2 linked regions of the Caenorhabditis elegans genome follow. The protein of the gene in region 2 binds, or shares a complex with, the protein of the main gene of each other region. Each region holds a gene or a part of one and is shown on either strand. Other genes may lie near its edges. The genes, in order: unc-84 and unc-83.

Region 1 (12,525 bases), on a different chromosome or scaffold from region 2:
TTCGATCAAGATAAATAGATGGTTTGAATAGATTCGGTTTATTTAGAGAATAGTTACACCTTATGAATCAGATTGAATAAATAATGCCAATAGATTGTGAATCAGTATTATACTTTATGAATTTATTCTTAAAATTTCAAACGGACGACATTTTTTATAAATATGAGAAAACACATTTCTAGCGCTGAACAGTGCCATCTTCGAAAAATACTCCTCCATCCATGGCACAATACTTTGGACAAACACCCTTTTCTCCATGTCTTCTTGATCCACCACTTTGCCCTGGAACTCCAGGATTACCGTCGCTTCCTGGTCTTCCTGGTGGTCCTGGTGGTCCTGGCAGTCCTGGCGGGCCAAAGCCATTTGCTCCATTTTGTGCATCCAAGCCTGGTGGCCCCATTAGTCCAGGAGGACCCATTGGGCCTGGTGCAGCAAACCCGACGATTCCGCCCAGCACCGATTGTCCAGGACTTCCTGGTTGCCCTGCCAAACCGTGGTTACCAGGCTGCCCGGGCGGTCCTGGTGGTCCTAGAGGTCCTGGTAGTACGTTTGACATTGACTGACCTGGTGGCCCCATTCCACCGGGCAGGCCGGGCTGTCCGTTCAGACCTGGAGGGCCTGGGGGTCCCTGTGGACATTGTTGACACTGTGATTGAGTTCTAGGTTGGCAAGGCGATGCGCCTAGTCCGGGCATTCCTGGCATCCCGTGACCACCTGGTCTTCCTGGTCGACCTGGTTTTCCTGGGTGGCCAGATGGACCGGGAGGACCTGGATTGCAGCATCCCATGCAGGTTCCTCCTTCTGACGCAACAACAATTCCGCTGCGTGGTGGGCTTCTCCAACCATTATTCTTCTTTTTCTGGGATCTATACCCAGTATTATAGCCGCGGGGTTTAATATTGCTTCCTCTTCCAACAGCGTAACCAGTGTTACCTTCACCTCTAGTAACAGTGTAAGCTTCGCGAATTGTTCGATTGTGGACGATGTCGACATCTTCGGTCATATCAAACCAGATTTCGTTTATAGACTTCTGAAAATATTATACTCTTAATTGCCGCAAACTTCTATGTAAAATGACAATTATGTTTTGCTAGGAAGAACTTCAATTACTAAAATGTTCAGGTATACACTACTAAAAACTATTTCAGCACAAAACATTACTAATGCTTAGTTTATCACTCACCTTGCAATATGCTCCTTCTCTGCTAATAGTCATCATTCCATTTTGTGCATGCTCGTAAATCAACGGTAGTGTTACACAAAGAAACGCTGTAGCTATTACTGAGCTTCCAACGACAGAGTACGCCACAAATTTGAAAATTCGTAATTTTAAATCTACACAGGACTCCATGAAAATTGAAGAAAATACAATGTTAACGCTCTCGCATGGTTTAGTATATATAGCCCGAGGAATACAAAAGAAATGATCAATGAATGTGTTAGGCGGTATACTCAATTAATGTCGTTTGCTGCGAATCCATCGGTTACGGTTTGTTATGCCAATCTAACACTTATTCACTCTTCCACATAATGGGTTTTAGTTCAGTTTTACAAGAACAAAAGATATTGAAATAATTTATGAAAATCGATAAAGTATTTTGAGATCAGGGGGTAAAGGCTGCAGAGAAATAGAGAGTGATTGGTTTTGCATTCAAATATATTCAGGCCAAGTATTCAGGAGACCGGTAAACTGCATGAAAATGTAATGATATTCTATACTTTGAAAAAAAATGGACACGCGCTAAAAATATAACAAGGGAACTGGAAAAATTTGGGAAAATGAATTGTGATTTGAAAAATTGGCAGGAGAGGGGTGAAATTGAAACATTTCGGAATCAGATCAATGGAAATTGAAAATTTGACCATAAAAACAAGATTAACAAAATAAATTAAACTTGAACAACTTTTCCATGAACACGAAGGCGGTAGAGACATGTGAACGGAGCTCCGTAATTGCTTGTCACCTCGAGCTCCACAAACTTGACAGGAAAATCGGGTTTGTGCTGAAAATGTTAATTCGATAATAGCCACACACTTGTCAAGAATTAATCATTCGGACTTACCTTGGCAAGGAAGAATTGAAGTGGCGGGCCATCAAGATCATAAGTGTAGTCGCCAATCAAAACTCTCGAGTTCAGGTCGTCAATCTGCTTGTAAGCCCAAACGAGGACTCCCTTTGGAGCACTCGACCGGTTCCCTTCTGGAGCAACTTCTGATCCAATGTGCTCATAGCTGATGCTAGAAACATCAATGAAATGAGACAGCTCGACAGCAATGTAGCCACGGGATTCTTTGAAGCACCAGCATTCCCCAGGAAACAGGGATTTGGAATTTCTCTGAAAATGAAAAGATAATAGGCTTGGAGTCAGAGGATCCTAAAGCGCTCACCTGAATGACAACTCTTGGAGAGTAATGGAAATAGTAGATTGGGATATCCCAAAACTTTTCCAGCCTTGTGTAGCTTTTGTACGTCTCCGAGCATCTTGTTGACACAACAGCTCCACCTGAGCTCTCCAGGGCATAGTCAACTTTCCCAGTTTTATCCGTGTCATACTCGTAGATCATTTGACGGATGATAGCTTCCAAATGATTCTTATCATATTGAATGTTGGTGTTTTCCATTTTCAGTTGCTCAATAATTGTGTTGTAGTTTTGCTCAAACTTTGCGCTAAGCTCTTGCTGGAATTGGGCGGACAACTCGGCGCGAAGCTAAAAATAACAAAAATCTTTATTATGTACATATGTACAAAACATCAATCATTCAATAATTGATTAGTTAGTTACCTTCTCCGTTACCTCCTTAATGATAGCATCTTTGTCAACAGTCTCAACAACGTTAGTCTGATGGATAATTACTGGGGCCGGAGTTGGCGCTGGGACTGGGATAGGTTTAGGTGCGGGGGCGGGAATTATCACTAGTTCTTCGTCCTCCACATCGGTGACTTTTCTCAGTGGCTCTTCAACAATACGCTCCACATCCGGAGTTGGGGTAATAGCTTGTGGAATTGGAATCACTTGAACAACATCTTCTGGAGCATATTGGCTGATGCGAATCCAAGCACGAGTGCACAAACTGAATGGGTAGGCAATGAGGAAGAGAATCCAGTTAATTACAGTTTTGAGCACGGAAACCACGGAGTTGTACACTTTTCCAAAGACTGCCGCTACCTCATTGAAGAAATACATGTAGTTATCACCAGCAAAGTTGAACACTCCAGCGATTGGTGCATAAATGAAGTTATCTGAAGAAAAAACACCATTTAAGTTTATAGTTTGAAAATTGTAGCACTTACAAAAAATGTTAGTGATTCCGGTGCCAAATGACTTGAGAAGAGAAAGAATGGAGTTTTGGGAAGAAGTAGAAAAGTTTAAGAGACCGGCAAAGATAGTTGAGAAAAAGTTGTAAACAGCATTTGAAGCATTGTAGATGAAGCTCTTTGTATGGCCAACTGTAAAAAAAGCGATTTTCTTTGGTTTTTTGTAGTGTCTTTCTTGTTGTAAATACAAATAGTGAAAACAGATAATATCATTTTTTTACGTGTAAATGGTACTTGCTGGTACTACAAAAGTTTTTTGATGTTTCAAAAAAAATTAAATAAAACGTGAATGGTATTTTAGGCTTAGGATTCTACTCAATTAATAACTCAAAAAGTTAATAAGTTCTAAGCCTGAAAAATAAAATAATACTAGCATGTTGCTCAACACTTTTATTTCCATTTTATTTCATTCGTTACAAACATTTTGGAATTCAGTTTTCTATTTCACAAATACCAAGTAAATTACTGTTCTGAAAAATAAAAGCTAATACTCATGTCCCATTGATAAGATGTTGAAAATTACTAAAGATTTCCAGCATAATGGATTGATCGAATTTTAATTTTTTAAAGTTTTACCACATTTTGACTGCATACAATTTGTATTTTCCTTACCAATTGCTGTGCATCCGTTGTACAAGGTCTCGTAGCAACCGTTGAAAAAGGTTCCGATAGACTTGTTTGCTGACAAGAACCCATCTGAGCCATAGTAAAATAGCTTTCCAGCACAAAAATCGATGAATCGAAAACTCGATGAGAGCACAGATTTTAAGCCATTTCCAACAGCGCCACATCCGCTTGCAATCAGGTCCCAAGCATAACGTGGAGTAGTGCCAAGTCTACCAATCGTCGACTTTCCATAGTTGTACGTGTCAAATGCTGGAATTTAAAGATGTTGTTTTCTACACTGAACAGAAAAATGAGATTTATAACATACCAATATCTACAACAAATTCCTTCACCATCCATGTGTAATGTTTAACGTGATTTGCAGCTGAAATCCAGATTGGCACAGCTGGGAGGGATCCTTCCGACTTCTTAGATGCATTCTTATCTTTGGTAATTTCTTTAACTCTTATTGCTGTGTTGTCAGATGTCAGGAATCCAAGGAGAAAGATGGCGAAGAGAAGAGCCAGAAGTAGACCGAGAATTTGACACCACGAGAACTTTGATGATTTCTTATCGGTAAGACCAGCAAATAGTCCTCCAAAATAGGAAACTGTCTCAACAATTCCTCCTTTGAACATTGCAAATACCACTTGATGCGCTTCAACGATTGTTGCTACGAATGAGCTCAAGAAATCGGCAATTCGAATTCTCCAAGAAACACCAACAGCATCATGAACATCTGATGAACTTGGTGCCGGTTCGTTGATATCTCTGTATAAATAACATGAAAAAAATTGAACTCGGTCATCATAAATTTAAAATGTTCATACCTGACATGAATAGTCTCCATTGGCGCTTGCTGATAATTGGTCAGCTTCATGTAGGCACTCTTTCCATAATCGTAGAACGTATACCATACATGTCGTGCCGCAAAGAACGGGAACAATATCAAGTAACCTAGCCAAGTGAATGCAGTTTTAATCTTATTTCCTGTCGCTTCTTCGTATTGATAATTGTAAGTTTCTTGTGGGAACAAAGGCGTGGAAGTTGCAGCAGCATGACCAATGTCAAAAGTTGGTTCAGGAGTATTCAGATGACTCAGTCCTCGGCTTCGAAGTCCATATGTGGAGAGTGGTGTGTCGATTTCGAGTTCCGGAGTATCGAGTGCTCGAGTTATAGCTTCACGAGTGGCACGGGTTTGGCGGAATCTTGGGGTAACTGAGCGTTGCTTCACTGTTCTAGTAGTCACAACAGTCGGGGTTATATTTTCGGACGTTCCTTCTCCGAATGGAGAGCTCGAGAACACCTTGGCAGTGATTCTGGTAATTGTACTAGTCTTCACAAAGGCTGGAGCTGCTCGGCGTGCTGGTGATTTCGATAATCCATCAAACTTGCGGCTTCTTTCCAATGTTTGAGATCTTGTCGTCATTCTGCTAGCTCTCTCATTTTCCAATTGATCCTTGATCGAACGGTACTGGTACTGTTCCACGCCATTGTTACTTCTTGTGAGCATTCTGTAAGGAGTAAGCACGACGTAGACAAGGATCTCAAAGAATCGACGAATAGAACGAGCAGCCTTAGTGGAGAATGGCTCTTGCCGGTTGCGAATGAGAGCTGTACGGCGACGATGATCTTGGTAGGCGTAGTAACGAGTTTTCGCTGAAAAAAAATTTTTTTTTTAATTCTAACATTTTGCAGAAAAACAACTTACCGAGTTTCACCAAATACAACAGGTAGTCCCAGATGGTGAAGCTAGTGATCTTGATGACGTGGTAGAAAGCTTCCAAAATGTAGGTGATGACGTGAAGAACAAGGTAGACGGGGAAACGGAGGATATAGAGAAGCTGTCTGCTGAGACTGGCCGCTGACCAGTGCTCCTGCTCAGAGAGTGATCCTGAAGTAGTACCACCAAGGTTTGGCACTTCCCAGTGGTCCGGCAAGGATGGATCGTAGATTTTGCTGTATGCGTATGTGTAGTTGGTTGCGTATGGTCTGAAAAAGAAATTATGAAAATTTTATTACATTAGGAATATAAGTTCAACATTTGAAAATGCCAGGAAAAGTTAATCTTCTATTATAGGTTTCGTTTCGCCTTGGTTTTCTAATTTTTATACAAGACTTGTAAACACTACATATTTAAAATTAAACAACCAACATTCACACAGACTTAAAACTCAAAAAGAAACGGAACCACCAAGAGCTCACTGGTAAGTGACCTTTATTCTTCTTCTTCCCGCTCAGATTCCTTCGCCTTAACCCACCCTTGTAACCCGATACTTTCTGGTGTTCTACTTTTCCTCTTTTCCACCTCACTGCTCAGAACAACACAGCTTTTACATATTTGTCAAAGGCTTCTAGGGCGTCAAGTACAAGCAAACTGAGTTCCAAAATACACAAACAAAACGTGGCCTAGCAGGTGCGCGTGAAACCTCGGCCGTATGTGGCGCGAAATTTGAATGAGAAAAAGGGGGAGGGGGGTAACATACAAGTCGCCTGTCAAAGCATCCAGCTCTTCTTCGGTAAGACGTGGCGATCTGGCGTTTCGAACTGGTGGAGTCAGGAGAAGCTTCCGGCGAACTTTTGCAAAAATGTTTGGAGAATTGCGTCCAGAGCGTGTGGATGCGAATTCCGATTTCCATTCATGGGTGTCGAAGTTGTTGTCGGCTTCCGTTGCGGGAGCCATAGTACCTGCAAAACACAATTTTAAGGAAGATATTAAAGATATTAAAGAGCGGTGAAAAAAGAAGTATTGAAGTGAGAATAAAAAAGTAACAAAACTTGCAAGCATCGAGTCTCTGTCTTTGTTTGATTTTGAACTACGCATGATTCATCGCACCAAAATCTGTGCGCTTTACAGAACGAGCAAACACTTTTATGAAGACAAAAGGGCTTGAGAAGGAAGAAGACTGGGAGACGTTCGTGTTTCTCACGATTATAATCACCTGTTGGTTTTGATGGGCTGAGAAAAGAATATATAATACTGCCTGATTTTATTATGAAATTTAAGAGAAAAAAACTGGCAAAAAAAACAAAACATATCACATCACAACAAATTAAATACGCAACTTTTCGAAACATCGCAAGGCAGAAAAAATTCAAACCAATGTTGTTTGTGTGCTCACCCCGTCGGGCCCTCCGTCTCTTCACCTTGCACACTATACTCGAATCGATATTGTTTGTGTGAGTGTTTTTCTGGGCGAAAGGAGGAGAAAGGGAGGGCACACACATACACGCAACAGTGAGCGTCGATTTAATGGTTTCGGTCGGTCACCCCAGTCTCCAATCGCCATCACCCCCGCCGAATGGTGCAGGTGGTGGACAGCAGATAGGGGGAGAGGGGGTGAGGCAGTGTGTTTTTTGTAGAGAGTAGTTGTCTGGCGTACGGTGACAAGCGATGGAACCGAGTGAGGGAGTGTGAGATGGGAAGAGAGAACACCAGAGAAGAACATGCATCTACGTGTTGCCCTCTAAACACGTAAACAGGCCGAAGGAATTAGGCATCATTGCAATGGGCAACAAATCGGTGAGAAGTACTGTGAAAGAATCGGAAGTGTGTCTCGCCTTACCACGTAACCTTGAGGCTAATTTACAAGCCCAATTGAAAAGTGTTGTAACGATTAGACACAGTCAAGAGCAGATACGGAGAAGTTACTAGTTTTCAATAAACGTTTGTAGAAGAACATGAAATACATATCAGTACGTCAGATATAGGCTATCAGTAAAATAAACCCTCAACCAAAAACACAAGCACAATCTGCGTGTCCACAATGTTTTCCGCTTTAAGTACTGAACTATGTCTGTTTTTTTTATAAAGCACAACTTCCAGATCAGTTACTTCGGCCTGCGTGGAAGGTTTGAATGATTTTAAATTCTCAAATCAATCGCATGGCTCTGATCTCTGGTGTTGTTTTTGTTGACTTTTTCTACAATTTTTGAACAGTGATCTATTGGATTCACATGGTTATGAAACTAACAAAAACTACGGTGTTTATTTACTATAGCAAAACTTTTTTCTAATTTTAACTTTTAAAAATTGAAATCAGGTTCTTCTAGAATATTGAAAATGCCGCTTTTCAAACTGAAATCAATTTTTTGAGTTTTTGAAATCAATTTTTTGAGTTTTTGAAGCCTACTGCCAACTTTTTGAAAAACTAATTCAAAAGTTTTCCAGAAGATTTTCAATTTTTAAATTTTTTTGTTGTATTTTCATGTCTATTCACAGAGTGAAAAATATTAAAAAAATATATAAAAACCAAATTTATCAAGAACTAATCAGATTTCCCATTCTCAAATTTCCAAACATCTTGATCGAATTAATCGGGATTTTGATGGGTAATCAAGTGTTAAATATGTTTTAAAGAGGGAGTAGTTTAAATGGGGAAAACATCAAAGCTTATAATGCAGTGCATACTGAGGAATTAAAAGAGAAACTGAACATTTTTTTGAAAAATGAGAGAATATGCTTGAAAATTTATTATAATTTTAAGTAGACGCTCAAGTTTTTCATTTTCTAGATTGATTTTTTTAATACAAAACTTTCTGTTTGTTAAAAAAAAACAAGTTTATATAACAGTCAGTGCGCGCGAAATTCAAATTTCATCCACTTCAACTATGTTTGTCGCTTTAGAGTAAAAAATTATCGGTGTGAACTTTTCTCACTCTTTTTCTCAATAACGTCCTTTTGACTTGCTTCGTTTTCAAAAATAAAACACAATATTTTTTATGGAGAAAGTTTGAAAAAAAAAAGAAATTGAGCGAATAGGAAAAGTGAAAAACGTTTCTGCAAATAAAGCTAATCCAAGAGAGCAATGAGCAAACATTGACGTTCAAACGTGAGGAAAAAACGAAATAAAGAACAATTTTCAGAGCTCAGCATCTTCCATTTCTGCTTCTTTAATGTCGGCTTCAATTTCTTGTTGTCGCTTCCATTGGTCAATTTTATCTGGAAAAGCACAATTTGATTTACTTTCAACATTCATATTTGCACTTACAAGTGTGAGCACAACAGAAATCCATTCCACATCTAGAATGCACACACGAATACGGTTTTTGACATTTGACTCCGCCCATTGCGTCACAAGTCTGTGGGGTATCATCTGCCTTTCTCATCACATTCCAACCTCCGGGACAGTAATCCTCTACAAACATCGAATTTGTTTGATGGATTAGAATACAAATGGCAACTAACCTGCTTTACATACACTATCCACTAGATTAACCAAGAATGCCAGAAAAATGAGACAGATGATGATGATTCTCATATTGAAGTGAAGTGACCCGGTGAATGGGATGAATAAGGAAAACTGTGAAGGAAGAAGAGGAACAGTCGAGATTGCTATCTGGCACGCAAAAATGAGGTCGCTCTAGATTTTAAAGTTCCAGTTAAGATCTAGCTGGGAGAATATGAATTGAAAATATTAGGGGGCAAGATTCCAAAATTTGAAGATATTGTAACACTTCCTGATCACATGCAAAATTTCCGTTCAGAAACGTTGCAAGCGTTCAATTTTTTGCAATGTTAAGTTCACGACGTTATGAGCAAACACAGTAAAGAAGGAAGATAAAATTACAAAATATGGGGGTCAGGATAGCACAGTCGGTAGTGGTGGCCGCTAGCAATCTGGAGGTCACGAGTTCAAGTCCAGCCTTACCCCCAATGTTCACCAGCCTCTAGTGGGAAGTGAAGCAATCCACGACTGGATTATCGGCTACATTCCCCGGCTAGGACATGGCTTTAACCATAGCACAGTGGGAGCACCGCCAGGCAGTGTACCTGACTCCGTGCACAGCACTTGAAGAACGGATCGTCCTTTAATCCTTTATAATCCTTTAAATGATTTCTTTTGATTATCAAAAAAGTTTAAAGAACGCTTGAATTTTTTGTACACAACAAAGTTGTCGCTGATTGGTTTAATGTGATTTATTGAAAAGCATTTGTTCGACATATTAATCTGATCAATTTAAAAACTTAGTAAATCTTCTTCACTACAACAAATTCTTAAACAGCTCAGCTATCAGGACAAATGACAATACATTCAATAAAACTACTTTCAAGGGGGCAGTCTGAGTTGTTGTCTGAACGGATACTTGAGTGATGGGTAGGCCTATAGTAGTGGACAACGTTGATCCAGTGTTAGAGGAATAAATTGTTGTAGAGTTCGTGACTGGTGGTGTGAATGGTACAGGCGTAATAAAGGTTGTGGCTGGAGCAGAAGTTACGGGCGGTGTCGTAGTTGTAGCTGTCGTGGTCAAGATATTAGCTTTTGTTGTAGTGATGGTTGTAGTGCTTGTTAAAGTTTTTGTTGTAGAGCTAGTCATGGTGCTCAAAATAGGTTGCGTAGTTGTTCCAGATGCCGCAGTAATTTCATAGTAAAGTGTGATGTAACCCCTCATTGTAAAATTTGCAGAAGTTGTCAAATAGTTTCCAATCGATGTCACACTACTGTTCAATGCTGGTGGGTATCTGTAAATACCATAATATTGTAGATAACTGCAATCTTGATGGTACTCACGTCAAATTCACTTGATTATTGTACCCTGGTCCCGAACCAATGCACAAATTAAGGAAGTTAACTCCAGTGAAATTCATATTATCTATATTCACATTGAAATTGTACAATTGACTATCGTCTCGAATTTCATATTGGAAAGTCGCCGAATCCCATACAGTCTCCCATAATGACACCGACGAAATTAGTCCAGTACGTCCTACTCTTGGTTGTTTCCATGCAGAATATTCATCACCACTGTATAGCTCAATAGTGAATAAAGATTTATACATCAGCAAAGTGAATTTGTTAGTTGGTATAATTTGAGGTAGCTGATTTGGATTGAAAGAAGTTGCGCTGAAAATATAGGTAATGCTAATCTAGTAGTGTTATATTTTTATACACAATTCACACATTTTCTCAAAATGAATTGGTAGCATATAATTAAATTTATAATTATTGATTATTCAAAAAATGATTCTAAATATTAATTACAGTAAGTTGCAAACGTTGAAAATGCCATAATTTCTATCAAAGACAATGATGAAAATTAGGTTTTCAAAAAAAAAACCAAAAAAAACTCTCACTTATAATTGATGACCTTTGCCATATAAATCTGAGAAGGAGTATTCCCTTGAAAAGCAATATATCCATTCGGTGATGTTAGCATTGTGTCAAAAACTAGCTGATTAATATAAAAATTGGTACAATCTGGACACGCAAATGTCACTGCTCCTCCACCATCGGTTACATCAAACAAAACTTTAGATGTAAAATTGTTTGGTGGAGTTATGAAAAATTGATAACTGCTTGTAATTTCTAAAAAGAAAACGGTTCTAGGATATTACAAACAAATAGAAATTTACCAGGCCCATCGTTTGCAATGATATAGGCATCAGATTTAAAGTCATCATAAAAATTCACAATTGTTATCCAATTTGCATAATACATCCTTCCATTATCGTAAAACTGTGTCCCATTTATCAAATCTGCAAGAGTTCCACTTGCTGGATACTGCATCACATCAGTTCCAATATAAAGCATATACCGATCGAGATTTTTGAGTGATTCCGCAGCAGTGTTAGCAGCCAGAGTCAAGGCAAGCTGAATTGTGAGCATTTTATTTATTATTCATTACCATGAAAAAAAAGAATACAAAGCTATTCAAAACCTTTCTCAACATATGAACACATACCTTGGATCCATAAAAGATCAAGTATTGAGCCGGAGGAATTTGAGAAACCTGGAAGTAGTCTCCACTGTACCTCATGAGAGGGAAATATGACTTCACTGAAAATAAATCCAATTTTCATTTGTCAATTCATATTAGATAATAGCAAGGTAAAGATATTTGATCGCAGAGTTGTACAGTTACTTTTTGGGTTTTCAAACAAAAATAAAATATACATTTGAATTTTTAACCGCAAGATAGTTTCCTATCTCTTCCAAAAATGTTATCCCTCATTGACATTAAGAGAACAAACATTTTTGTACCGGTAATCTCCTTATATATTTCGATTAATATCAAACTGATCGCAATTGTTTTTTTTTAATTTCTTAAGTACTTTTGGCATGGTAAACATTTTGAAACCATCTTTCTCATAGCCCGACTCACATGAGTAAAACTGGTATGAAATCAGAAATGCAAGATTTCCGGAAAAGGAAGTTACTCTGAGAGTGGAATCTCCCGCTGTGCACCAGTACACGTCTTTTTGAACACCCGTAAAGTTTGTGAATCTGAATTTTTTTTGAAAGAATTCGTTTTTCGGAGTACAATATACTCACCCCACAGTAACTCCTAGACTGTTTGTTATTGTTAAAACATCCCCTTTGTCCATTGTGTATGAAATTTGAAATTGCAAAGCGTAGCCCAATGGGATAATGAACTGGAAATATAGGGTTGGATAAAAATTTGATGAACAAAAAAAAGTATTACGTTGTAATAGCAAGACTCCCATTGGTCAATTTTCACTAAATTCACAGATGGATATGGTATTGTACCTTGTATTGAAGTAACATTTACTGTTCTGGATTGGCATTCTGAAATATATGAATTAGAAAGTGATTAGAGAAAACTTTTTAAAATCTAGCAACTCACGAGCTCCAATCTGAGC
Region 2 (10,083 bases):
TGTACCTGCTTTTATTTTTGACCGAAAAATTGGGACATCACAAGAAAAAGCGTTAAACCAAGCACTATAGTGAGCTATAAATCTACCTGTTGGAATGTCTCTGTTCACCTTTTGAATTGCATTCCACTCCCTGTCCCCGCATGTTGACCACCCATTCAACATTGATTCGATTATTATGATGGTAATTTCGTATCAATGTCGGAAATGTAATCCGAATCCCTTCTGGATGAAATAAAAAAAATAGACGGAATGGAGAAAGTGTGTAGGAAGCATTGGTTTGTTGTCTGAATCATCTGTACTACCGCCATCAGCCTCACCCTTCACAAAGATCATTCCAGCTTCCCATTTTTCTTTTATCCGCTAGAAATGAAGCGTATGGAAGGTGATTTTTGGGGATTATATGTACTGTTGTATTGGACTGTAACAAAGTACGTCTAGATTCTGCTAACCTAGAGGCTCTTGAAGTTATTTTCTCTCAACTCCATTTTTGGTCCGCTTTTTAGAGCTGCAAATATTTCGAGCACTTGTTGACAATAAATAAAGTGGTAGTTTTTTTATAACAGCACAGTTATAATAGGCATTTGGCTCTAGTTTCTTGGCCAAGCTTGGCCCAAAAATATTAGCTTACTATTAGAACAAAATTTGGTAAAACTTGGGGAAGAGTTGGTTTAGGCTATGATGAAGTGTAACCCAACTTTGGCCGAAGTTTTGTCCAAAATTTTTTTGAACTTGGCAAGAGTTTGACAAAAAATGGGTCAAACTTGACCAAATGTTTCCAAAGTCTTCCCAAAACTTGCCCATCGTTTGCCCAACTAGTCCCAACTTTTGACACAATTTAACATTTATTGAGTTCAACTTAGATAATTAGCTAGAGCCAAACTAAACATGTTTTTGACATTTGTGATGCTATCAGAAAATTATTTTTATGCAATTAAAATAAAATAAACACTACTTACTAATTTTCTATAGAACCTCGTGTTCCTTTCAAAATTACAATACGATCCATCTTGTTCCCACAATCACTCTGCTTCTCAATCATCTGTCTATCTATGTCAGTCTCTATAAATATATTCACATGATCAATTTCTCACATTTGAAAAAATTGGCACCCAGCCAGCAATGTTGCACTGTCTTCCTCTCAACCCTTCTACTCCCACACGCTTGCCCTAGACTATCATTCTTCAAAAAGAAAACTAAAAACAGCTCGATAATCGAATGTGTGTCTCCTGATGGTTCCCACGTCGTCAACACAAACTGTTTGACTTTTTCAATCATGTCTTTGACTTCTTCAACTGTCTGCGTTTCTTCCACACATACACAAATTATCATTTCTTTGTCGTTTTTTGTCTTGGTGCTGACCGCCTTTAGTTACAGGCGCCCGTTGTTTTCTTGCATTCCTGCCAATTTTCACAGTAGCAATCGAGATAGTATCAGGTGGTAGTAAATGTTTACGTGTCGACTGAGTTTTTCAACCTTTATGACTCCATTGGCATAGGAGTATCAAGTAAATTATCAATGAACTGATTAGCATCATGTTCATTTTGAAGATGACATTGTTTGAAAGGTTTTCGGAGAAAAGGAAGTATTCTGAAATATTGGAATTTAAATTAATTTCTATTAATGTGCTTACAATTAATATTGAAATTTTAAAGTGTTTTTGGAAATTCTCTGCTGGCATTTGAACACTCAAAATTCTTCAATTAACTGATCAGCTCAGGCATAATTTTCTTTTGAAAACTTTTTAATGGCTTTACGCATTTTGAGAAGGAGCTGAAGTTTTCTAACTGTTTTTGAAAGTGTTACCCCTCTATGAGTCACTGGGGGCAAACGAGAAGCGCAGTTTGGGCGACATTTTGTTGCATTATCAAATAAAAACGGTTGTCTCTTCTTTTTTATTATCAACCAATGCAGAGCCAACATTCTACCAAATTGATAGTAATGCAAGTACTTGCCGTAGATTCCCTCAAACATTTGAGACAAAGGGCCTAAATAGTTTTAATTGTGAAACAAATTAGACACGACGTTCGAAGTTTATTCTGCAGTTTTGGTAATGCGTTGTAATTTTGATGTTAGTCTAGAAACAAATGTTTTCTTTTTGAAATTTTGCAATGTTCTTCAGAATATTTCAAGTATGAAATTTCTAAATTGTACTTCAAATCATTTCTAAAACTCGTAAAACATTCGGGCACTACAAAGTGTTCCTTTTCTACTTTAGTATCACAATGTTTCGCACATTGGTGATAAATGAGCCGGGGCTGTCTGCCGTTTCCGACTCCATTAACTTGGGTCCATTATCCCATCGTTTCACTGTGTTTCTATCACATTTATTGGGGGAACTTCCTGTTGCAACAAAACCAATAAATTCGAAAAGTGTCAGGGCCATGTGCTGTTGGACATCTATTCGTGAACATTTTCAAAATTTCGATTTGTTCCTTTCCAGTTTTCCATAGATTCAATTTTAATTGAAAAATGAATGGGTGGAAACTTGAATTTAAAAAAAAGGAATTTAATTCAATTTTCAACAAGTTCAAAAATATTTTTTCCAACGTTTTGTTAATTGATATTTTCCAGAACTTTCTAAATCAAGTTACATTTTTTTTGAAAGCTACAACCTATTTTGTAGTAATTTGGAAATTTCTTGGACCTCGTTGTGATAATTTCCATAAATTTTGCTTAATATTTTTTATTGGAAATCACGAGACTTTTTCACACAAAATAAAATCTTCCAGCTGATTTCCCTGGTCCAATCTCTTTTTTATCACTTTCACACCTATCTCTTCATATTTTCATATCTTCATAAATCTTCATAAAAATTCATAAAACAATATCTCCATCATAATTATCATCTTTTATTATTTTATCAGGTGTCGAAAAGAAACGAAAACTGTGTGAATGACATGATAATCCATCATCATCACAAGCTTCTCTTCCCAACTCTCTAGATTCTCCTCTCTCATCAGTATTATTGTTTATTAAGGCGGAGACTTCGGATTGGGGGGCAGATTTCGAGCATCTCACACTTTTCTATGTTTATCTTTTAATTTGCGAACATTTTTGCGGGCGATGGCTTGTTGTCCAGGGCATGAAATCCATGGATTTTTATTTGGATTTTCAAAAACTGGCCTAACAAATTTTATGGAAACCGTACTATACATAAGTAAAACATTTATGAAGTTTTTCGTGTGTTTCTACATTTTTATTAAAAACATTTTTTATTATCTTTAAAAGGATGTTTTACTGCTCGACACAATTTTCATAGATTTTTGGTAAACTAGGCTAGTTTTGAATTGAGTATATATTTTGCAAATTTTCTATCCTCAATATGACTTGAATTTCCGTTTCTTGACTTTGATCTCAACAGAAATCTCTTCTTGAAATTTATTTTCAGCTCCAATGAAACAACTAATCTCTTTTTCTTTGTTTTTCACGAAATTTTTCCTATTTTGTTCTACACACAAAAAATTGTATATACTTTTTCTATTTTTAAATTTTCACCTCATTTCGTTTTGATTAAGTATTTTTCCGTCTAAACTAAATTTTTCCAGATCCGTTTCTCATCCGTGATCATATTGCGCAGATGCGTAATTGATCGTCCACCCCTACCAGTACAGTATCCCACGTCTGGATACAAACTTCTCTGATTTTTTTATTTTTATTCCTGGACACCGAAAGTAACCCGAAAACAGGTTACGAATGGACGTAATGGACTCATTCTCGGAGGTCGAGATGCCCAATGATATATCATCGGAGGACCATCTTTTGAAGGTGAGGCAGAGCTTTAAATTTTACGAAAAAAAAATACTTTAAAATTTTCAACGCATTTTCTTGCATATTGAATTCATTTGAAAAGTAAAATTTCGTTAAAAGTAGGAGAAAAAAAATTAAAAGTTCGATTTCTTTATTCAAACCAAAGTAGAATGTAGTTTTTTTCTAAACCAAAACGAGCGAAAATAATTTTATTTTTCAAATCTATTTGATTATTGAAAGTGCCTTTTTGAAAAATGCTTGAGCATTTACCCTTGCGCCATCAATTGTTTGCAAAAAGCTGTCAAAAAGCCCGAGAGGCCGAGTTTTCAATTTTGGCGCAAAAAATCCCGAATTCCACGCTATCTTTTTTTTTCTTTCGATTGACTAAAGACGAACGGCTGAAGTTTTTTTTCGCTGTGCTTCAAAGATTTATAACTGGAGGTGGAAAGAGTTAGTGTCGCACATTCAAATTCCGCATCGTTTAGTTTTTCTTATCGAATGTTTTGATCTGGTGGGGGACGACGAAGTAAATTGAATTGAAAACTGTGGTTATCTTGAAAAGAAGTTTGAAGGAGAAAGTGTAAAACTATTGATGACGGGAGTTTAAATTTCAAGAGATTTTAAGACATTCCCATATTTCAGTGTGCGAAAATTTATCATTAAAAAATATTAATTATTTCTATGTGCTAAGTACATTTATTAGCAAAAAAGCGCAGAATCAAGTTCAGACAACATAATTATATTGATCTTCAGAGATTTTGCACATAATTTTGAGAGCCATTTTTCAGGAAAAACATAAAAGTTATCAAAATTGGTCCGCTAAATGATGTGTAAAACCTTTAAAATGCGATACTTTTTAATATTTAAAAGATTCGCATGAGAAATAATTGACTGACACCTTAGGTTCCTTGTAAAATATTTCATTGTATTATTAGTAAGTATAGGTATTTCCCAGATTTCCTTGTTAAGGTACCGCAAAGTCAACACATTCATGGACACCTTTTTTTGTTGACTTACCCCATATTTCTCTTTTTGTTTCCAAAAACAATATGCGGACCATTGAATCCTCACGCCATTCACACACATTCCCAGAGCGCGACTACTAGTAACTTTGTTTGGCAAAAGCTGTTAGTAAGAAGAGAATGATTCCGAGTGCCCAATACCATAAGTGTTTCTCGAGGTGCGCATCTCGGCAGTGAAGAGCAACTTGCAAGTTCGAGTGCATTTCTCCAAACTTGGTTGTTCCTACACAACGATTCCTGTGCCATGTTCCTTGATCCTCTCAATTTTGGCAATTGAATCGATTAACGTCAGGTTTACTCTTCGTTTTATTGCAAAGTGGGCCGCCCGGAAGGTCGAGAAATCGTAAATTGACTCGGAATTACCAATTTTACAGTCACACTGAAAGCAAAGCACTTCTTTTTGGTAGAGCGGGTGGCCATTGATTGTCGTTAAATCGTTTGTGAGGGTCATTTAGAAAAATGGGCGCATATTTTAATTTTTCAGAATAATTTTGACAATTTTAAATAATGAAAATAACAAATTACATTTTTTTGAAAATCTTGTTTCACCTTTTTTGGTTTTTTATTTGTATCAAATTATAAACTGTTTTATTAAATTGCACTACGCAGCTGTACAAGATCGAATTGCGCGTGTACAACCATCGTTAAAAATATCTCCTAGATATCTTTCCAGCTGTTACTTTGCCCATTTTAATGATCAATAATTTAATTTCCAGGTCATCGAATCGTCGGCTGAGGAAGTGGATATCTTTTTGGAGAACTGCTCCTCGCTCTACAATTTAATCCTCGACTCGTTGCACAACCTCACCTCAAAAGTAAGTCTTATTTGTTTTATTGCTTGTGTCGTTTGGTTGCCATGGATCAAGTGAAACTGGGAGAGTAATTAGGTGTAGCTGGCCTCAAAAGAACCTCCTGTTTTTCTCGATTTTCTTCTAGTTTTTCTTTGAACAAAGTTTTTTGCTTAGCCCTCTGATATCAAGATCAAGTTTTGCAAACTTGAGGCAGTTGTCCATTTGATTGAGCAAGAGATAGCAATAGTTTAAGGGGTCATCAATTATCAAAAAGAGAAACGTTACGAGCCTGTCAATTGAACACAAGCCTGGTACGAAAATATTACGGCAGATGTGGTGATGGATAACTGAAAACATTCACTTGACAAGCCTTTTGCCTGTGCTTTAGGGAATTTTTGAATCTTCCAAATACAGTTTTTACATAAAGTTTACCAGAATTAATTTCTGGTTGAAGTTTCAAGACTTGTTGATCTAGGAATGATAAATTAAAATAAACCCTTCCCATTCACAAAAACATAGCTAACTTATTCTTGCTCTAACTAGTAAGTTTTGTTCACTCCATGAACTACATCTAAATTTAAGCGGTTAATCATAGAGTAAACAACAAAAAAAAACCAATTTTTGAAGGTATAAAGTTGTACTTCTCAATATCCGATGATTAAAATTTTTAAAAAGAAAGTATCCTCAAATCGTTTGCTCTTTTTCAATGAGATAACAAATGACCACTGCAACTCATCTCTCTGTGCTTCTTATCCTCCCACACTCATTCAATATACTCACCCAATTTTTGTGGCAATTGCCGTTTGTTTGGAAGGTCACCCATTAATCAAATGTAGTTGGTTGATTGTGCAACCTCTACTACTAAACATTTTGATGAAGATCCTTCATTTTATCTGCCACTGACTCCTGAGAAAATGCCACACATTTCGATTCAATTAGCTTTCCTAAATTATTATACCAAATAGTATCGAATAACATCTCGCCCCCCGAACCACAGAAAAGTGGCCCCCAATAGTGTGCGCAGTTTTGCCGTTCCGAATGAAATTGGAGATTGTTGAGAACCAAGAGATAGATGGGAATTGAGTTGAAGTTATTGTTAGAAATTTTAAACTTTTCAATGATAAATTTTGACACAATAGGGGATCAGGTTGTAATTAGAAGATTACCAATTACTTTTTATTTTCATCACTCCAAAAAAGTACAACTGAATTTTTCAAATATCTAGTGGTAACCCGAAAAACTCATGTCAACTTTCTGAATCCAAAAATGCTGCAAATTTCTTGTCAAAAATGCTGTCCACAGCAAATCCCCAATGGACGTGTTCCGATTGAGGCAGTGTTTGCTTACTTGGGATGTGTTACTCTCGTTTTCTTATTCGAACGTCCTCCTTTTCTTTTGGGGAGTAACATAATCCCGTTCAGACAGACACAGATTGAGCAGATCATTTGTTTCCTTTTAAGTGGGTTGGCACATTTTGCTCTTTATTTTTCGCTTTTAGATAACTGAGATGCTAATTTTTTTCAGATCACTTAACTTCTTTAGTGAACTTATAATGTTGTTTTTGAAAAATTGTTTCCAAATTCTCAGAAAAAGATATCAGAATCTGGATATTTTCAAATTTTAGAACGAGGCGCACTTTTATGTTTTTTTCAAAACTTTTTCAATGTTTTTTTAACTGATTTTGTAAAATTCATTTGCCTTAAATATCAAATTTTTTGAAGCAAAACATAATGAAATTCTTCTCAAACTTAAAGCCTTCCATCTTTAGTTCCAAAATTCGTTCCGCATTGAACAATAACAAGATATAGGGGCGCGAACATGCGTGAAGAATACGAGAACAGTAACGGAAGAAGAATAAGGAGAAAAGACACGGAGTCATCTCATGTTTGCGGATTGTTAGTTATACCACCATCGGGCACCCGAGTTGTCGTTGAGCATGCTTAGCGACAGGAGCACCAGCGGTACACTTCACGCACCCGATACTCGTCTTATTCGTCCACTCGAAGGGGGGCTTAGACTCACTGTACTCTTCGTTCTAGGTTAGAGCATTAGGGCAAAAACTATTTCATGAAAAATTAGAAAATTTTCGAGGAAACCTCTAGTTTCCATTGCTGGGTTTCTGTCTTTGTCTCTGGTTCTCAGCCATCCTTCTGTTACTTCTTATTTTTATGGCATTATGTTTTCGCGTTTTGGCAAAAGTCTTCCTCGATTTTACAACCGCCACATGTTTTGATATTGTTGCACATTTACTCTGATTACATTCCGATCTTACTCAAAAGCTTTCACATTGCCTGTCATCACAAAGTGCCTTCTTCTTCTCCTCCTTCCTCATCTCCTAATCTAAATTAATGAGTTTTGATCGGACGTTTCCATGGGGGTGTGTAATAAAAATAATGAGCTGGTGTGCTCTTTATCAACAGGGCCGATCGAACCACTTACCGCCATCCATCTTCTGATCCGACTTCCACCACCACCACCATCACCTTTCTTCAATTCCGTTGCTTTTCGTTTGGAAGTGTATTTTGGAAATATGTCACATTATGTATTCATTAGCAAAACGACGCAGTCCGTTGGTCTGTTTGACAGAGAGCTGACAATATGCATCATATCCATTGAAACTGAACCCAGTGGAGAAAAGAAGCATTGTTTCACTGAAATGACTCATTCTCCAGGTTGTTTCTTCTGTTCGCAGCGTCGTTGGTGAAAGTTTTTGTTTTAGCAATTTTCCAATTTCGGCATTTTTCTACCAGACCCTACAGTTACCTACCTACTTGCACAACTCAGTTCCAATGGAAACATTATTATAATTGTCTTATAACCTTATCAGTTTATGCAAATAGTGTTCCCTTTCCTTGGTATGTTCATAACTAATGTTCCAGGCAGAATTTGTATTCTCGACATCACGTTTTGAAGAATTTTCTACAATTTTTAAATAGTAACCACATAGTAACCACTAAATAATAAACACATATTTGTTACTACCACATTTCCAATATTGAGCCGGAAAGCTGACCACTTCTTTTTATTTTCCGCTTGCTTGAACAACCACCACCTCCTTCATTAATTTTGGGTCACCACTACTAGTTTGCCCGTCATCGTAGTGGGAGAATGAATGAGTTTTTATCGTGGTATGATGAGATTCTGCACATCTGGAGCCCCCCGCACACACACACATACCACCCGGTGCGCGGGACATTGCACCGGTCCAAGGGTTAATAGCTCCGTCTCTGACAACACATGTGCACTTTTGTAGCAGGAGGGCACACATACACTGTTTCTTTCATTGTATCGGTTTTTTGACAATGAGAATAATAGAGCTTTGATTTAGTTTTTAGGTTTTCATCGTTCAAATTCTGAATCTAGCTCTCCAACTCAAAACCTGAACAAGTTTGTATATGTATACGTTATACCCATAAATAAACATAACTTTCAAATCCGACAGCCCTCCCCTTATCCCGTCGCTTTTCTCGATTTGTATGCCAATCGGCACATATAGGTATAATGTGATTAGAAATCACACCCGTCAAACAAAACCTGGGAAATGCTTGTATCATTCGAGAGATCCGGCTGACCTTATTTTTTGGGCCCACTCGTATTATATATTCGGGTGTCTCTAGTGGTGCAATTCCTATACTAACAGACCTTATCGCCGTGTTGCATAATATTAGCTACCATTTCTTTAGAGAGGGTGTGCCAAGAGACACTAGATAATATCTTTTTGGAGTTACTTCCCAAATGACCGTAGCTCTTCTTGTAAACTATTCGAATGCTATTAGCTTTTTGTACATTTTTGAAGCCAAAACGTTAAACTTTGAGATTGGAAATGTATCTCAAAAGCTCGCCAAATATGAAGTCTCAAATAAAGATAAGGTCGAGTCTTGCATTTCCAAACTTAAAAAAATCTTCCCTATCCAAAAATTACCTCTTTTTGCTTAAAAAATCGTTATATTCATCAAAGCTCAACAAAAACTATTTAAGGTGACTTTAGTGACAGAACCCAGAAAAAGCAATCATAGCTCGCGATTTCTAAAAACTCATAAAACAACCGCTACCAATCAAGAAATGTTATTTTGTATCGTTCAGCTAATTTTCTATGTTTCAACTTAACCTAACGTTTTTCCCAAATCCACTCTTCTCTTGTCAATCAAATAAAAATTCTCACAGTTTTTTGCACTAATCGAATTAGCAAATTTGGGTTGCATGTCACATATATTCCTATTCTCTTCCCCATTAAAACAGAAACATCGAGCACTGATAGCCATCATCATCATCGGAATTAGATGGTGCGAGAACGTATTCATTTATCATCGAGATTATATTCGTTGCCTTATTCTTCTTTGACGACGACTTCTTATTTTTCTTTTTCCTCGTCCGTTCCTTCTCTAGATGAAGACAGATGATAAACCATAAGAGAGAGAGAAAAAGCTCATTAGGTATTATGCATTTTATTGTTTGTGGGAAAAGAAATTGGAATGAAAGATTCAAGATGAGCCCTCCTTCTACCCTTTCAAGGATTAATTAAG

The links.
Region 1: unc-83 (region 2) and unc-84 share a complex: the UniProt entries of both Caenorhabditis elegans proteins name them as parts of the unc-83-unc-84 LINC complex.

What each region holds. Positions count from the first base shown.
Region 1 is NC_003284.9:13,578,861-13,591,385, reverse strand, and holds unc-84 (Nuclear migration and anchoring protein unc-84), read right to left. Parts: upstream 6,612-12,525; 5' UTR 6,607-6,611; coding exon 6,410-6,606; intron 5,916-6,409; coding exon 5,635-5,915; intron 5,583-5,634; coding exon 4,754-5,582; intron 4,695-4,753; coding exon 4,252-4,694; intron 4,194-4,251; coding exon 3,930-4,193; intron 3,450-3,929; coding exon 3,294-3,449; intron 3,243-3,293; coding exon 2,785-3,242; coding exon of another isoform or gene 2,773-2,784; exon of another isoform or gene 2,715-2,772; intron 2,710-2,714; coding exon 2,389-2,709; intron 2,337-2,388; coding exon 2,064-2,336; intron 2,004-2,063; coding exon 1,890-2,003; 3' UTR 1,565-1,889; downstream 1-1,564. Other genes in the region: col-9 (Nematode cuticle collagen N-terminal domain-containing protein), read right to left, coding at 179-1,030, 1,184-1,351; srf-5 (WAP domain-containing protein), read right to left, coding at 8,786-8,865, 8,915-9,061, 9,112-9,184; F54B11.11 (CUB-like domain-containing protein), read right to left, coding at 9,909-10,386, 10,436-10,768, 10,999-11,230, 11,278-11,515, 11,607-11,701, 12,027-12,148, 12,197-12,297, 12,348-12,451 and 1 more. UniProt on the Caenorhabditis elegans protein: Involved in nuclear migration and anchoring in hypodermal precursor cells. Most likely recruits anc-1 to the nuclear envelope where anc-1 functions to tether the nucleus to the actin cytoskeleton.
Region 2 is NC_003283.11:6,461,520-6,471,602, forward strand, and holds the start of unc-83 (Nuclear migration protein unc-83), read left to right. Parts: upstream 1-3,545; 5' UTR 3,546-3,693; coding exon 3,694-3,765; intron 3,766-3,914; exon of another isoform or gene 3,915-4,114; intron 4,115-4,867; exon of another isoform or gene 4,868-5,048; intron 5,049-5,485; coding exon 5,486-5,584; intron 5,585-6,445; exon of another isoform or gene 6,446-6,654; intron 6,655-6,790; exon of another isoform or gene 6,791-6,930; intron 6,931-7,073; exon of another isoform or gene 7,074-7,213; intron 7,214-7,424; exon of another isoform or gene 7,425-7,573; intron 7,574-9,980; exon of another isoform or gene 9,981-10,083. UniProt on the Caenorhabditis elegans protein: Cargo-specific adapter that is involved in nuclear migration during development and thereafter.